Linked DNA regions of Alligator mississippiensis. The protein of the gene in region 1 binds, or shares a complex with, the protein of each later gene. Links are inferred from orthologs where the notes say so. Each region holds a gene or a part of one and is shown in the gene's direction. Other genes may lie near its edges.

Evidence for each region.
Region 2: the proteins of SORT1 (region 1) and NTS are in contact, whole or in part, in a crystal structure (PDB 4PO7), measured with the Homo sapiens proteins. The link is inferred for Alligator mississippiensis from reciprocal best matches to the Homo sapiens genes SORT1 and NTS. Residues at the interface, in NP_002950.3 of Homo sapiens: Val112, Ser113, Leu114, Ser115, Trp116, Lys260, Tyr304, Ser305, Phe306, Gly307, Leu308, Phe314, Ser316, Arg325, Ile327, Phe350, Tyr351, Ser352, Ile353, Tyr395, Gly399, Thr570, Gly571, Leu572, Ala573, Trp586, Trp597; in NP_006174.1 of Homo sapiens: Leu152, Tyr153, Glu154, Asn155, Pro160, Tyr161, Ile162, Leu163.

The regions. Positions count from the first base shown.
Region 1 is NC_081837.1:34,115,006-34,123,925, reverse strand, and holds the start of SORT1 (sortilin), read left to right. Parts: upstream 1-5,273; 5' UTR 5,274-5,308; coding exon 5,309-5,440; intron 5,441-8,920.
Region 2 is NC_081827.1:82,662,369-82,671,348, forward strand, and holds the start of NTS (neurotensin/neuromedin N), read left to right. Parts: upstream 1-5,105; 5' UTR 5,106-5,176; coding exon 5,177-5,196; intron 5,197-5,785; coding exon 5,786-5,865; intron 5,866-8,980. UniProt on the Homo sapiens protein: Neurotensin may play an endocrine or paracrine role in the regulation of fat metabolism. It causes contraction of smooth muscle.

The DNA.
Region 1 (8,920 bases):
AAATGAACTACGTGGTGATCCCTGCCATTAGAGGGCGTGTGACTTATTTCTAATGAGTGAGTGGTTCTTTAAACACTTGTATGCAGTTCAGGTTAGATCTACCTGGAGTTGATCTATACTGTCTTTCCTATTTTGAAAAATTAAACAATTTCATAACGAAGAAAAAAAAGAACTTTTGTCTTCTGTGTGAAAGAAACATTCAGCGTAACAATCAAGAAAGACCTTAGAGAAACTTGCAGTGGTGGAAAGATTGGAATTCGCCCTCGGTATGGTTAAAGCCTCCATTTCTACTGAATTTACTAAATCTAGTTAAGTCTGTGAAGAAAGCCATTTTACTGTAACTGAAGTCACAGGCTGCTGAATCTCCAGCAGGAGTTTTATTGATGGTACTGCCAGGCAGCTGCACGAAACCTTAATTTTACTGTTATTCTTTTGGGGAACCCAGCAGGATGGTGAGAGCCAATAATAGAACTGAAGTGTTCAAAGTCCCATTCCACACTGGACTATACCACCTCTAAGAATGTGCCTAATGGATTGTATTCTGGTTTCTATCAGTGTAATGTCCAAGGTCCAATAACACTGAAAGTTGCACGTAAGATAAGTGTAGGATTTAGCTATTCAATGTTATTGTCTTTAGCCTTTGGATTACTATAGTTGTAGGGGGCAAATTGAGTTATGCTCAGGCTCTTAGCATAACTTTTAGGCCTTCCCAGAACTAAGCAATTAAATTGTACAGAGTGCCTTATAACGCACTGGGAAACATAAATGCTGTGGTTGATATAGTGGGCTAACCAGGTACAGTAGTTTCCCTAAAAGGAAAGGAAGCCAAAAACAGAATAGGATCGGAGTACCTTATCTAAAAAGATGAGGGAAGAAACTTAAGGATTGGACAGTTTGAGATGAGAGAATTACAAAAGTAGTGGACAAACAAAAGAGATGGTGTGTGTTCTGTGTTTGCCACCTTGGGGAGGCAGGAGCAACCTTGAAATTTTTGTTCAGACGAGGAATCCAGAAACTAACATCCCACACACCCCGCAGAGGATCAGAAGCCGGTACCACTGAAGGTCGCACCAGTAACACCTGAAGGAACCACTTGCCAGGTCATATTATAAGGCTAATAAACTTGTAATAAGCCTAGGGGTTACTAATAAAGTTCACTTGATACCAAATCGGACAAGGGACCATGTCAATCCTTGGGGGTCTCTGGTAAAAGAAATCCTGGGGCAACAATAGTATTGTCTAGTAGGTGTCCAAACACTGCACAAATATTCCCAGTAAGTGACATTACGAATTTTGTTGTTCCAGAAAACGGTGCTATTCATGCTAGCTTTTTTTAGGAAACCAAAATACAAAAAAATAATTCTTCCCTTCATAGCTTTCAAACAAAGAACTAGTCCTTTATTTCCTACCCGAATCACATGGTAGCTGGTACCAGTAGCTATGTGATGCTGCCACGGTTTCCTTCTAACTTAAAAATCAAGGCTTTGTATTCTTACGTCTGATCCCTCTAAGGTCTGGTGAGAAACAAAACACTTGAGATTGTTGTAAGGCGGCCAACAAGCCAAATACAAGCTGGGGAATCTCAGAATGATAGATCCTTGCTGCTCCTCCACTTTTTCAGTCAAGTGCATTTTATTTGCTCTTTTTGCTACCTTTTCCCCAACCCTGCAGGCTGCCTGGGTGGGACAGCCTAGGTAGAAAGTTGGATATCCTTGTTTTTAAACGCCTACGTTTAACCCTACGTTCCAAGTAGGGTTAAGAGGAAAAAATAAAAGTATGAAGTAATGATATTAGCAAGATTAAGGTCTCTGTTGGTGAACCCTTTTTCATTTGCAAGGGAATATGGAATGAATACAAAGAGCCAGGAACTGTTGGTGGTTTTAAATCTATTTGACTTGTCAGTGACCTTGGGTAGAGTCCATAATGATTTTATCAGCTGCTGTGGTGAGATAAGCCATTCTCTCCCTCTTAACTCGGTTACAGAGGCTTAATTTCGGTTGCGTTAGCTCTTAGCCCAATTCATCCTTCATGACTTCCCTTGATTTGAATGCTTGCAAGTCCCTACCTCTCTTGGGACTGAAGGGGAAAGCTTTTATCTTGTTTATTATTCTAACTGCATTTAGAGCGGTCTTTACTTCCAAGGAGGAAGCTTCGTATGAATTTGTTGCAAAGCAATGCCGTACCTTCAAAAGATTGTTTTGGTGTGGTGTGGCATGTGACACGCCAAACCAAAGCCTCTGTTAGTTGGTTGCTATTTAAAAAGCAAAAAAACAAGTTAAGGTTTAATTTCCATGCCTTGGATTCTCAGACTATGCTGTGCCCCGCAAATATTGGCTGCTTCTGTCTATGGAAATAGTCCAACTTTCTTATATAACACTCTAAACACAGATTTGTAAAGCCATAATTGTTGCCTTGAATGAAAACATGTTAGATTGTTTATACCAGGCAAGGGCTTGTAGGCAGTGAAGAAAACCAGTTCAATGTGCATGCCATTCTCCAGTGGGTAGGAGGCATTGAGTGCTGCTTTTCCACCCAACCCAATGATTAGAGAAGTGGTTTTCAACCTTTTTTCATTTGCAGACCCCTACAAAATTTTCAAATGGAGGTCCGGACCTTTTGAACTGTAAGTGGGGGTATTCACATACTTATGATCATAATTAAGTGTCTACTTAATTCCTGGCTTCATGGTTTTTGTGGAAACCACAAAAAACTGTTGTCTACAATCGCCAAGAAATACTGCACTGGCCACCATTTCCTGTGGAACTAATCTAAAAAAATCCCCAGCGTATTATTCATAGGATACGCTGTTTTAGAATATCTCAGTGCTTACCGCAATATGAAGACAACATGAGTCGCTGCAGCCATAGATCACATCATTGAGCATTACTGAGTGCATTTACACGTGCACTTCAATGTGCAGTAACCTATTTTAATGCGCATTAGAGAGTCACGGCAAACCATGTTAATGTGCAGTAAAATTAGGCTACTGAGAATGAAGCATCACTAAAGAAGCATGCACTTGTGCTACTGCGCATTAGGGCAGCCCAATGCACATTTAGTTAGTACCTCACATTAGAGGTACTGAATTTAATGTGCAGTAGCAAAAGTGCATTGGTGAATGTGTAGATGCACCCACTGTCTGCTAGTGACAGAAACTAAGTAACGGTGCCAGTCAGTGAAAATGTTTCTGTTAAAATTGGTGTTAATTAGTATTTCTAAACTTTTTTGTAGAATGCTACATATAATAACAACAGGATACAAATTGTAATCCATATTGTGTATACATTTATAATAGATGTAATTTTATTTAAAAGAAATATTTAGAATTATAATAATATGCTACATGATATAATTTACTTTCTGTGGAATTTGCTATTAAATTGGCAGAGGCATAATACCATTCAATCAGCAGTGAGGGGTGGGGCCACTGGAATATGCCCATGAAATCAACTCTTCATGCCGCAATCAAGCTGCAAAAATTGCTTCGTCTCACCATGAGTTAGGTAAACTCCTAATCATCATAATCTTTCGCGAGCCCCTTAGGCATAGCCTGAAGACCTCTAGGCGTCTGCGACCACAGGTTGAAAACCAATGGATTAGAGTGTCTCTTACAGCTAGTCCTATCTTCTTCCCCTTTGCAGGCACTGCAAATACCTTGTCTTCCTGTTCCTTGCTCTTACCATTTCTGCTCTTTTTCCATTCTTGCTGAGTTTGTTCTTCCAGACTTTTCACTTTACAAGGCCCTTCACTTTCGATTCTTGGCTTCTTGTCTCTGTTGTCGTTCCAGCCCTAAGCAAAGCAGCACTTCTTTATTCTCATTCAGCAAATATCCCGCCTGACCTTTCTCTCTCCAATTCTTTCAGCAATTTCATCTCATCAAATACCCTCATTTATTTACTGGAAATAATAAAATCCCCTGGGGGCAAAGCGAATACGAGGTAAAGACCCTGCTTAGCAAGCAGTGTGATGATCATTCATTGTTTCTCAGCTCTTGCAATGCATTTCCAATGTAATCGCACCAAGCTGTGAAGGTTGCTAGCTGTCTTCCAGTGGCATAGGAGTGCAGCATCGGGGCTCAGTGATGGGTTTACTTTTGGGCACAGCCTGGCATGTGGGAGCTGGCTAGCTCTAAGACTGGCAACTTGAAGCAGTCAAAAGTGTGACTCTAGTCTGAGAAACATCATTGGCTTAAACCTGGTGAGACTTTTGAAAACGAACAGCAATTTTCTGTCTGTCTTTTGTAGCATGTGGCGCTCCGGGCTCCCTTCCTGCTCACGCTGGATCTGAGCGATTTTTAAACAATCCATGTGATCCTGCAATTTGACGTTTGCTCTTCTGTAGCTCCAGCTGAAAGAAACCAAAAATCAGTGACGGCAACAGGGTGGATGGATGGAGGCCTCGGGTTAATGCAGGAAAAGCAGCTTGGGGGAAGAACCAGGTAGGTGAGTCCAGAAGGAGGGAGCGGAGAGAGGGTTGCCCCCCTCCAGCTCTATCTGGAGAAGTGCAGCTGTGCTCCCTGCTCCTCCAGAGACAGAGCTGGATGCAGCTGTGCCCCGGGCCGGGGGATGGAGGCTGCTTTCCCGGCCCTGCCACCACTGTGGCTACTGGCGGCAGAGCCAGGGAAGGGTTAATCCAGCTCTTGGCACCTCTGGCAGCAGCGTCCTGCCCGCGTGGCCGCACGTTCAAGCGCCCCCTTGAGTGAGCGCCTGGGAGTGCACAGGCAGGCACCGCCCGCGGCGCAGAAGGGGTTAACGCGAGTGGCCCCGCTCGTCCGATCCGGCCTCTCCTCTCCCCGCAGGACAGGGGGCGGGGCCAGGATCCCGAGTGTTTAGTCGCGAACAGAGCGTCTCGTGCTCAGCCAATGGCCGAAGGGCTGGGCGCAGCCCGTAGCCAATCAGCAAGCAGTCGCTAGAGCGACCAGCGTGGGGGGTGAGGCCAGCCTAGGGAGCCTACAAGAGTAACAGCCAATGAACTGGGGAAGGGGGTGGGACCTCAACAAGACATTGACAAGGCGGGGGCAAAGAGCGAAGCCCACGGAAAGCGCATAGCCGGCCTGAAAGGCTTTATGGTTGCCATGGCAGAGACTGACGCCTGCTCCAGCCAATCCGAGCCCGCGAGTGGCTGCGGCTCCGCGAATGGCGGCGAAGCTGTCAGGGAAAGGCGGGGCGCGCTCCTCGGAGGGGCCGAGTGACGTCCCGCTCGCCCAATGCGGACCGCCGCCCGCGCACGCGCCGCCCAATGAGGCGCGGGGGGCGGGGCGGCGCGCGGAGCTGCGGGGCGGCCGCGGGGCAGAGGCGGCGGAGTGGCGATGGGGCTGCGGGCGGCTGCGCTGAGCGGCCTCGTCCTGCTGCTGCTGTCGCCGCTCTCCCGCCCGGCCCGGCTGCCCGAGTGCGGCGACCTGCGCGATGTCCAGGGCGCCCTGGTCAACAACACGCACAAGGTGAGCGGGGGCGCTCGGGGCCCGCGCCTCAGTCTCCAGGTCTGTGCGCGGCAGCAGCGTGCCCATTGGCAGCCCTTGGCCGTCCTCCGTGCGGATCTCTCCGCCTGAGCCGCCGGGGCCTGGCTTCAATTGGGCCAGGTGCCCCGCAGGGATCCCCGCCCCTCCCCTCCCCGGGTTTCAGTGGGGTCAAGCTCCGACTTGTGCCGCGTCCTGCCAATGCGCCCGAGGGCGGCGGGCCCGCAGTCGCAGTGTGACGGGCTCCAGCCGTCGCCCCTGCGGGAAGGCTTCGGAGAAGGGAGCGAGCGCGTGGTGGGAAGCGTCCCGGGTCCCGGGCCCCTCGTGACAGCGGGGTGATTCGGGGCTGCTGTCGAACGAATGACCCGCAGTGGAAAATCCTGCGCTCGCATTCCTTCCTTTCCCCGTCTTGGCTCTTTTTACGGCCTCGGCAGTGTTCGTTGCGCTCTCGGCAGGTTTTTTCCTGGCTCCGTTCCTTACCTGAAGCCTACGGCTCTTTTGGGGCCCTGAAGAGCAGACCTGTGTCTGGCAGGCTTCACCCCCGTTCTCCGGGGAAGGACTTCCCTTCCAAGGCAATCCGGAGTTAGCACTCCATGGGGTGGCGTCCTCCAGGCTTTTCTGCTTCCCCATTTTTTTAATTTTTTTTTTTTTTTATAAACTTGATGTAGTAGCTGGTGTCGGAGCCCTTAGCGCAGCCCTTCCCCAGGACACGGTAGCTTCTTGTTGCAGGGGTGAAAAAGTCAAGCAAAAGATTGAGATTGAAGCAATCCTGCCGAATCCGGCAGCCCTAAAATCTCGTCCGCCTGTGTATTTCCGACTTGCAAAGGCCTGCCCCTGCCCAAAGGCTAAACTCGGCTGTCCTGTTTCTTTTAATACCAGCCTTAGAGCTTGCCAGTTGATTACTTGCTGAAGGTCCGGTAGAAAAGGCGAGATCCCATCCTCTCTCCCCAAACCCAGCCCGATGCCAGAGCAGAGCACTGGTAGGAAGCCAAGCCCTAGTGCACTGCTCTTTAGTGTAAATCCAGCCTGATCCCAACTGCTTATTTCATCCACCCGCCTGACCCCGAGATGCCAAACCACAGGGAGCAGGGATTTGCTTTTCTTGCCTGCCTATGGAAAGCTTAGTGCAGTGAAAGCCTCCTCTTTGGCTGGGATTCCCAGGATTTGCCCTGATGTCACTAACTGATTGAAAAAGTCCTGTCCCTACCTCACCTCCCTCAAACACGTGAGTGTTGCAGCTGCTTTGAGGGGCAGAAGCCTCCTACCCCTTGCACAGAGCCTCCCCATTGCTGCAGATGCAGGGAGTGTGGCTGGTACTTTCTGACATCTGTTTGGCTTCTTCTCCCTGACACTGCCCCAGTGTCTGCTTCCGCTTTTGGCTTTTCCAAGCAGTAGATACCCAGGGGCAAATGTTCAACTTCTGCTGGCAACCCCAGTCTTACTGACTGTGAACCTGAACAGCTTCTGTTAATGTTGTGCTACTGCTTGGTCAAGCTGGGAGCAGGAATGAAGCTACCCAATGTGGCTCTGCAGGTGGGGGAAGGCAGGCAAGCATTGCATTGCTTTTCGTGGGGCTTGCCTTCAGATGGCTTCCATCACAGCTGTGAATTCTGTCACTGGCCAAGCAATTCAAGTCTGTTTCTACTTGCCTATAGTACCTGGTGCGTTATCAAAAGTTGGGAAGATTAAAGCAAACAGGCTGAAGTTTGGGGTAAACATGCCGGTTTAATGTTACATTCCCTCTTAGGGGTGATAGCCTGTCCTTGGGATGGATGGGTTTCATGGCTTAATGGAGCACTTCAGTCTGTCTTTTCTACCATCCTGGTCTGGTTGGAATAAGGTGGCGCAGCTTCTATGATCAGCTCTGACTGCTTCCTTCTAAGGGATTTCAAGGACTTGAACATTGCGTTTAGCATCCAATCTCCTTGTAATATACTGTAAGCATTCTCCCTTTTTTAGGGATGAAAAATGGAGCCGTCCAGTGTACTTTGCCCAAAACCAGCCTGGGACAGAGCTGGGAGCAGAGCCCAGCTCTCCTGACACTCCTCATTCTTTGCATTGCCCCACAAGCCAAACCTCCCTCCTCTATCACGGCGCCTCTGTGGGGATATAAAAAGCCCACAGTGTCTAAAAGAAACAGGCTGTGTCAGAAAAATCTGTGTGGTGGGTAATAACATGGTGGCTCAGCACGAAGAAGAATGTGTGCATTTGTTTGCTAGCACTGGCAGTGTTTTGTCCTCCCCGTCTGTGATAGAATAGATGGTGCCTGTTGGAGACTAGAGAAAGAGCAAGTAAGAGCTCTTAGGCTTTTATTATGGGCTTCTTAAGAGAGAGTGAAATCTGGAAGCTGATGCTCAGTACATTGCCTCTCTTCTTGAGGTTTATTCTGCTGTCCCTTAGCCTGAGAGGGGCCTTTCTCCCAGAAGATATGGGTTATACTCCAGAGTCTCCGTATCTCCGCTACGGGAGCCTGTGTGCACGTGGGGGAGAGCCTGTTTCCCCTTTGCCATGTGGACAGTGGATGTCAGTCTCCAGTTTGAAGTGGATTGACTGCAGCTCTGCGCACAGCTTCAGTGCTGGTCCTTGCTTGGGCTTGTTGGGTGGCATTAGGCGCCTTCCACCCTCTCCAGCCAGCTAGAGCTGCTTCCCAGTTCTCTACAAACTATTGCTTGGGTAAACTTCATCCTGGGGATCCTGCTGGCTTAGTCGTTCCAGTGCTTCTAGGTAGCAAGGAGCTAGTTGGAGGAGCACAGGGGTGGTGGTGAGTTCTGTGCGTCGGCAGGGTTTCTCCTATGATCAGAGGCTGAAGGTCCCAGACTTCTGTACCAGGCAGCATAGTTTGAGGAGGAGGTAAGATGCCAACAGTGGTGAAAGAACAGGTATGGGACTGTTTAAAAAAGCTGGACATGTACAAGTCCATGGGGCCAGTTGGGATGCACCTGAGGGAGTTGGCTGATAAGATTGCAGAGCCACTGGCTATCATCTTGGAAAACTCATGGTGATCAGGAGAGGTCCTGGATGATTGGAAAAGGGCAGAGTTCCCACATTTAAGAAAGGGGAAAAAAGGAGGATCCAGGGAACTACAGACCAGTCAACTTCACCTTTGTCCCTGGAAAAATCATGGAGCAGATCCTCAAAGAACCCATTTCTAAGCACTTGGAGGAGAAAAAGCTGATTAGGAACAGTCAGCATAGATTCACCAAGGGCAAGTCATGCCTGACCAACCTGATTGCCTTCTATGATGAGGTGACTGGTTCTGTGGATGTGGAGAAACCAGTGGATGTGGTGTACCTTGATTTTGGCAAGGCTTTTGGTACCGTCTCCCGCAGCATTCTCGCAGGCAAGCTAAGGAAGTACAGGCTGGATGAATGGACTGTAAGGTGGATAGAAAACTGGCTGGAGCATCAGGCTCAAAGAGTAATGATCAATGTCTCAACGTCTAGTTGGCAGCCAATATCAAGTGGA
Region 2 (8,980 bases), on another chromosome or scaffold:
TCAATATTGTATGGCAATATATGCTAAAGCCATTATGTTTTTTTCTATCAAACTCACTTTTGATCAATTGATTTCTTCATTGAAGCATTCTTCATGTATAGTATTCATTTTTTGTGGAAAAATCTGACTTTTAATTGAAATCAGTCACCTAAAAACTGAAGAGCTATTGGGCCAAAACCTAATTTTTTAATTAAAAAAAATTAGTATGACCAGGGAACTCATTCTATGGATAAAAATATGTGCACGAGGTACCCAGAAACTACAACTCCCTGCTGGCTTGCAAGGAGATTTCAAAATTGAAATATTCTTAATCCAAAGGGATTGTAGTGAATATTGGCAGTGAGGGCTGGGTTTTTGGGAGGTAAGAGGGGGTTCCAAATTTGAAATTGTAATTGAAAACTTTAACTAAAATTATTTTTTTTAAATTTTAATTAAAAACTTTCAAGCAAAAAAAAAGGGATTCAATAGTATATTCACTGTTTTTCCTTAACAACCTGGATGATTTCTGTAATGATATCATTTTGATTCCATCATAATATTCCAGAGAGAGGACCTGCCTTGCTAATGGTGAGCCAAATAATCTTAAAGTCTTTGCAAGTCTAACACCTGCTATACTTTGTGAAAGAAAACAACCGTACAATGGGAAGAACTATTCTGTGGTTAAGGTTATTTAGAAATCCTGAATAAAGCTGTCTGACAATTTGACAACCAAAAAAAAGCTCCTCTAGTGTGAGGAACTTAGCCTTCCTAGAAGACCAGCTCCACCAATCTGTCATCTCTTCCTTACACTGACTGACAGACTACACACATTCAGAAACCTTTGTCAGATAGAGACATTCTGATTGAATCTGAGATACCAAAAAACCTATATGGCTTAAGAAAATCCCTACTGAACCACAGCTTTTAAGGACACATAGACCTAACTAATATTAAGAAATATGTCTGACTCACATACTAGTCATAGCCTGGTTGCTTTACATTGCTTCGACAATGCAAAGGATCTTTAAAACTGGCTTAACCAACTTCCTGAATTTTTTCTGGCATGAAGAGAATCCCTGGGGGATATTGAAGAAAACGTATGCAAGGACAGGAGCCAAATCTGTGCCTTCTCCCCGTCTGCTGGAATGGCTAACAGGGGCCACTGGCAGTCACATGTACAATAGAAAGATGTGGTGAGGGTTGTCTTGGCAGCTTTAGGTTCAAATCAATGTTGCTGTCATACAGATACCTTCTGGGCCCTTTCTTCTATCAGCCCAGCCTCCAGGTTGTGATTTACAGCTTTCACAAGACCTTTTTTTTTTGCCATTTACGAGTATATGTGGAACATTAAAAAAGGCAAAGTGTAATAAAAACATACACCAACCCATATTTTCATGTTATGAAAACATAACAGCATAGGTAAATCTCTGGTTTTAAGGAACTTATCTTCAGAAACCAACCTCTACAAGATTCATGATTCCCGACTTTTCTTGAAGCATGAGTAGTGCTTAGGTATGTAAAAATGTCACAGAAGACTGGCTGTAAAACAAGTTAAAACAACGATGTCTTATGGCAATATCTTTTATTAGACAAATAGTTGGGAAGAGATGTTAGACAAGCTTTCAGGCACAGGGTGACTTGTTTGGTCTCAGCTGTTTTCTGATTAAACATACTACCAAAAAACCCCTTGCTTCTCACATACTTACTGGACCCTCAGAGCTACAATACTCCAACATTTTTGCACTTCAGGGCATTTAGCTGGTTGTTTCTCTCCTCCTATAGATATAGGGTATCACCTATTCACCTTTATTATAGGCAACAAGCCAAAACAGACTGCACAGGGTGAAAACAAATGATTTGCTGTTGTTGTTCTCTTATTGTTCCATTAACAGAAAGCAAAATTCCTTAATTACTTACAGATGCTTCATTGTTTGATACAAGGTAGCATATGGGTCTGGAAATGTTCAGCAAACCACAGGCTGAATGCCACTAGGATGTGACAGCAATCCCATTCTAAGTGATGCTTACAAGAGCCTACACATACATTCCATTCCCATGATTAAAATGAAAAAGAGGGAACTTCAGAGATAAAGTGAAGGTGAACTTTTCAGAAATGGGATTAATTACCTTCGAGAAAGCCTCTCATTGAACAGGTTTTCCTGCAAGATAAACACTTCAGAATAGGAAAGAGACCTAAATATGAAAGGAACTTATTTTGAGAATGAGCCATTAAGATGGCTCATATTCTAAGCATGGAACAGAGTGGCTGCGGAAAGCTGCAGTCAAGGAAGGAACGGGTGGAAACGAAATAAAGGAGCAATAGACAAAGAGAAGACAGCTCAATCCTACTTAGAACAGAATAAAAGTACTTAATGGTGCTGCATCAGTGTGCCTGACCTAAGTGCGCTTGAAATTAATATGTCAAGAGAGCACAGATGAGCAATGAAGGGGATGTGGAGGCACAAGAAATTTTGGACACATGGTGCTCAAGCCTTGCCATTTGTCGGTAGTGAGAGAAAAACAGAGGTAAAGATTAAAAAGTTCGTAATATAGACAAAACTTTAAATTATTCCTCAGAGACTCATAATCCAGGGAGTACCAGGGTAAAAAAAGCAAACAACTCCCCCCTGCAAAGTGATCATAACTTTTATCGGCATTGAAATTGACAATACTTGATTCATCGAGGGAAAGAAAAGCCACTAAACCTATAGATTCCAGTTAGGTTAAGAATATGGGAAATTGCACTAATGGAGAAATCCATGGCAGGAGGCAAGAACTAGAAAATATTAATCTGTTAAATATGATTCTCATTCACAGATCTGTGAGAAAAAGCAGCACACCCACAGAATAAAATCAGCTGAAGATTGGTCTTTACGCACTACATACTGTTTAACCACAGTGCGAAATAACAACACTGACTGTACAGTGTGAAGATTATTTCAGGAACTCATCCTTGTGTTGTAAGATAAGAAGAAAAGATTTCAATAACATGCAACTTTTTCGACTGTTAAAATCCAAAGAATTAAAAATGTACGTAAAGACTGTTTGTATGTATACATTTATGTCTATAGTGCTTCCAAGTTTAATTTTTAGGGTAAAGTGAAACTTGAATTGATAGAAAAGGCATTAGTTTAGGTTTTACCAGCAGTTGCCTTTTATGGCAAGAGTTTTTAAGTGCTTGTGTGTTTTCTCTTACTTCTGTGCTATGTATTTCAACACTGTGCATAAATATGTAGAATATAGAAGAAAGATATAATTGATCGCTGCCATTGCCTATATTTGCTCTTTACTTTTAGAGAACACACTTCCCTCTGTTGAGGTGGGCAAAGCAGTCAATATGTGAGCAACTGTCAATTGATGAGTTTGTTGTTGGCATGTATAGTATGGGTACCAGTCCTTAAATATATTCATGAGCATAAAAATGCTTCACATTATATCAGCATTAAATAAAGGAAAGAAAATCACCCTGCAAAGAAATAATGTGATCCAGGGTCGATGTGATTCTTTAGTATTGCACATCTATACTTCAATGCAAATATTACCTTATCTTATCATTCTTCTGCTGTGAATATTTTTTACATTTACAACATAAGCACTGGAAACAAAGGGAGAATAAAAAAGTTACAAGGAAAGAATGCAAACACAGCTAGGAAGTGCTCTACATAAAATATCAATCTGTGTTAAGAAAAGTTAATATAGCTCTGATTGCTCTACAGAGGTCTTAAAGCTTTAATGCCAGTGCCTGGAGAAAATTATTTTTTTCTTATATCTCTATTGCTCCCCCTAATGGAGGCAAAGGCACTACCTAAAACAAAATACAGTCTCTCTGATCCAGTTTAAAGAAAGCCTTTGCACAAACTATGATTGTATGGGAACAAACATTTAGTTTTACATTCTCAATTTTACATTTTTTACATATTTATTTACTTAGGTTTCTGCTCATCCTAGAGTCTGTTCTCAGTAAATCACTGGGACACTATCAGTATTGCTCAACACTAATGAAAATCCAACTCCCATAGCTTAACAACAGCTCCCTATATACATGGTGTGTGTGTGTGTATGTGTGTGTGTTTCAAGGATTGTAAGAATTTACCATAAATGTAAAACGTATTGCATTCAACTTGAAGTGTAGAACAGGGTAAGTGATATGTATGCATATATGTATAAAGGTTATTTTAAAACATTTTGTGTAGATTTCCCCCCCTGGTATTTTATATATATTAAACTTGATAAATATATTATTATATATTAATGTTATGTAAGTAGTATTATACATATTAAACTTGATTAATATAATATTTAGTATAATATCACTATATTATTGAACTTGAAGTGTGGAACAGGGTACATTTTTTATATTTTACATAGGACCCCATACTCTAGAATGAAGATATATATGTATGTGTATATGTGTGTGTGTGTCTGTCTGTCTACATATACACACACATACACATATATATACATATACATGTGTATGTGTGTGTATATGTGTATATACACACACATGCATATACATATCTACCTATCTAGATATATATATAAACACACATACATATCTACCTATCTATCTACCTACCTATCTAGATATATATAAACACACATACATATACATATCTACCTATCTACCTACCTACCTATCTAGATATATATACACATACATACATATACATATCTACCTATCTACCTGTCTATCTAGATCTATATAAACACACACACATATACATATCTACCTATCTACATCTCTATCTATCTAGATACATCTGTGTATCTGTGTATACATCTATCTGTGTACAGATAGATAGAGATGTAGATAGGTAGATATGTATATGTATGTGTGTTTATATCGATCAATCGATCGATCGATAGATGTACACACACACACATTCATTCCTGGGTATGGGGGCCCTATATGTACACTTCAAGTTTAATATACTAATATATTCACTATTATATTGAATATTATATTAAATGAAGTTAATAGTATACATTACGTACAATACCAGGCACTGTGGTGTGTGTGTATAGATATAGATATGTTTCCTCTCTCTCCTCTCTCTGCCTAGACACACCCATTTACCCTATTCTACACTTCGAATCTGATACACTATTTCATACGCAGGTCGCCATACCCAGAAATGCCCAGGAATTTGGTTCTTCTGTATCTCCTAAATTAACACGGGGGCTGGGGGCGAAACCTATGCAAAATATGTTTAAAAAGTAAGTAACCGTGGGTGGTTACACCCAGCCAGCTGCATGCATGCCATCCGTTTCAGGCGATCGGTGTGTTTTATCCCCGCCACCCCTGGTGCGCTGGCGATGAGTGAGTGACCGGGGCGCGGCAGCCGCGGAGGTGGCGCGGGTCGGGACAGGGTGCAGGGGCCGGGCCGGCCCGCGGGGCTGCTCCAGGGGCTGCGGCCAGTGCGCGCGGATCCTGCCGCGAGGGGCAGGGAGAGAAATGACCCCGGCCCTCGGGTTTGCCAAACACTTGGGAGCCGAGTGCGTCAAGCGGAGCGGAGCAATTAGAGACGCGCGTCACTTGCTCTCGGCACTGAGGACTGGGGGACGGCGGGGGGCGGGGGAGGAGGAGGAGGGTGCTTCATTAAGAGACAGCCGCTGTCCTGTTGTGACATCACAGCCCTGCTTATATACTCAGGCAATGGTCCGGGTCCCCCCGATGGTTCAGACACCTCCAAGTCAGCTCGAGGCAAAGCAGCAGCTGCACTCGCTTCTCTCTCTGTCTTTCTGTGTCTGTCTCTCCCTCTCCCTCTCCCATCTCTTCTTAGTATTTATGGACTTGACTTTCTAGAGGGCAGAAGATGGCAAGGATGAGAATCCAACTGGTGTGCATGATGCTGCTGGCTTTCACCTCCTGGAGCCTGTGCTCAGGTAAGCCGTGCTGGGCAACTTCCTGGGGCAGGGTGGGGTCTGCGCCCAGCTGCCCCCGTGGGCACTAGGGTTGCCAACCCTCCCAAGAGTGCCCGGGAGTCCCTAGGGCTTAGAGAGAAATCTCCTGCCAGCATCACCCAGGAGATAAACGATGGGGCATTCGTTAAAATACATATTAAAAGTTGAATCTGACTTACACAGTTGCCCGGTGGGTTTTTAAAATGTAATAGTGATGTGCATTTGCCTCCCCGACATAAAGTCATGCATGTCATTGCATCATGTGATGAAACCTCCCGGAATAGATTCAAACAGAGTTGGCAAACATAGTGGGCAGGGAGTTATTCTTCCTTTTCTGACGGTTATTTTGGAGGGGAGATGGTTTAAAATGCACCTAGTCATTTTCAGGTAATAGTGACTGTAAGGGCAATTTCCCCCTTGGATTTTATCAATAGAAGGGGACTCAGTTAACTCCAGACTCATACTTCTGTATCTGCAGAGGAGCCATCCTTCATAATAAGTTTTGAAGGGCATAGTTTTCCTGTCATTCCCATTAGTTTCTTTCTTTATATTCACCCAGTCTCACACAGCAGCAACATCAAGGGGCTTTTGGGGTCATTTTGAAACATATACCAGGATGACAGAACAAGAAGCAATGGTCTCAAGTTGCAGCAAGGGAAGTTTGCAAGGGCAGAATTTTCTCACTGGGAGGATAGTAAAACATGGGAACAGGTTACCCAGAGAGGTTGTGGACTGTCTCCTTCAAGGTTTTTAAGACCTGCTAGACCAAGCTTTGGCTGGGGGGGATCTATTTGGGGATGTTTCTGCTTTGAACAGGGGTTGGACTAGATGAGCTCCTGAGGTCCCTTCCAACCCTAACTTTCTATGATTCAATGATTTAGAAACATATACCAGAGGCCATGCACTTGCTAACGAATGCTGAAAATATACCTGGTTTATATCTTTGAAGTATCCTACGGCTCATGAGAAGCCTTAATGTGCCCCGCACCAAACCGATGAAGTGTGTTCTGTATACTGAGATCACCTCCATCAGTAGCTGCCAAATGATTGGGGGATGAAAGGCTGCAGAGGGTTACATCAGTGCAAACCCAGCTCACAATATGGGGAGATAAAGTCACCTCTTTCTCTTCCAAGAGTAATTATGTGATATAGTTAGAGGATGACAGATTGTATGCAACACAATAACTGCTATTTGCTTTATATTTTCCTTTGGAAAATGGTACAGATGAGTGTATTCATAAAACTGTAACACTCTGTAACGGTTATTATACATGTATACACACAGGCAGTATGAATTATTTCAAAACCTTGCTAACTTTCAGCGGTGTTAATCAAGTATTAAAGCATTTTGATAAGTCTGTAATCTATACAATAACATAAAATGAGACAAACTTTAAAAGAGTACACATGCAAATAACTTTCACACTTACCTTTTTAATGCTCCACTTTGCACTGTATTCAGGAATACTGGGATCTATTTTACAGCTTAAAATTTCCCACCTGTGAACTTTTATACCAGGTAACAAAGCTCCATTCCCCTGTTTTGTGCCCAGCCAGTTATTAAAGGAATGCTAAAGAAACCTTTTGAAAAGTATAATTAGTAAAGTAGGCACTGATGTTTGAAAATGCTTAAAAATATAAGAAAAACACAGCCAACATAATAACTTTGGCTCTGACCTTGCTCCTATTTAAAGAGAAGAGAATTTTGGATTAATGTCAATATGCAGAATTCATTCCCCCCCCCCCTCTTTTTTTACAATACAGCAAAAATAATATTAACAATCCTTCATTTTTATATATCACTTTTTACCCCTATTTCAGAAAAGGCTTGTAACAAGAGGAAGTAAGCTTTAATTCAGCAGGATTAGATATACTGTACTTGAAATTGTTGTTTACTATACAGGAAATAAGATAGAAACTGTCTGTACTTGAGAGAGAGGATAAATAAGCTCATAATGGAAATGATTATACAGTTTTTGCTAAAGTTAATGACTACAGTATTAGGACACAGATCATTTATTTAAATTTTCCTTTGAACATATGGTTTACACTAAAGTGAAACATATCGTCTTGTACAATTTAAATATCATACTGCATCTAAGTTGCTAATCATGGGAAGGAAAAACAAACTGTATATTTCCATTTTGCTGAAAAAATACAGTATGATATAATCAAAGTGTATGTTCAAAGCTCTCCATAATTCCGCCCCATTAATGTATCTCCCTTGAACTCCTCCAGCATCCCTTCCCAATCCTTGTGCTCTCTGCATCAGTTCCTTCTGCCTCTTTTTTTTTTACTGACTTGTAAGTCCAGGTCTCCTACCTTAGCAAACTTTGAACCAGGAATAGTCTTCCAAGTAACACATACCAGACTTCCTTGTTCTCTTTGCTTGGCACATTGAAAAAAGATTTAAGTGTTCTGTGCAGTGTTTGAGATTTTGGTATAAATATGAACTCTACGCTTGTCCAAACAGGAGCCTGTCAATACAGTTGTTGGTAATTGTAAAGCTGGATAGGAAATTAACTGGCTTTTAATTGCAAAGAGGACAGTGAATAGTACTGAAAAAAAGGTTGAAAGGACGTTACTGGTTGAGTTTCTCAAGGATTGGTCTTGTGACAGATCTTGTTTGATTTTTTCATTCAAAGCCTGACAACATTAATATGAAAAGCAATTGGGAAACTGCATGGCAAGACCTGGGGACTAGTGTAATAGAAATGGGTTGAAATTCAGGACTACTTAATGCAAGGTCCTGTATTTAGCAACTAACAAGAGCTTCTTGCTGTACTTGTCTATTGAAAACAATAGAAAACAAGAAGAATTTAGGAGTAACCATTGATCAAAAGTGGACTGTGGATCACACATGTAATGTGGCTCTAAAAAGGGCTAATGCAAACCTAGGATATTAGGGTGAGGCAACAGGGGCAATAGCCCCAGGTGCTGATTGGGATGGGGATGTGTGAAAAAAAAGGCTTTTGCTGAAACTTCATGGTTGTGTTTGTAGCAGCAGCAGAGACTGGAAGACATCACTGCCTCTGTGTGCAGGAGCTGCTCTGGGCAGCTTGCCATGTCATTACACTTCTGCTAGAATACATCTGTC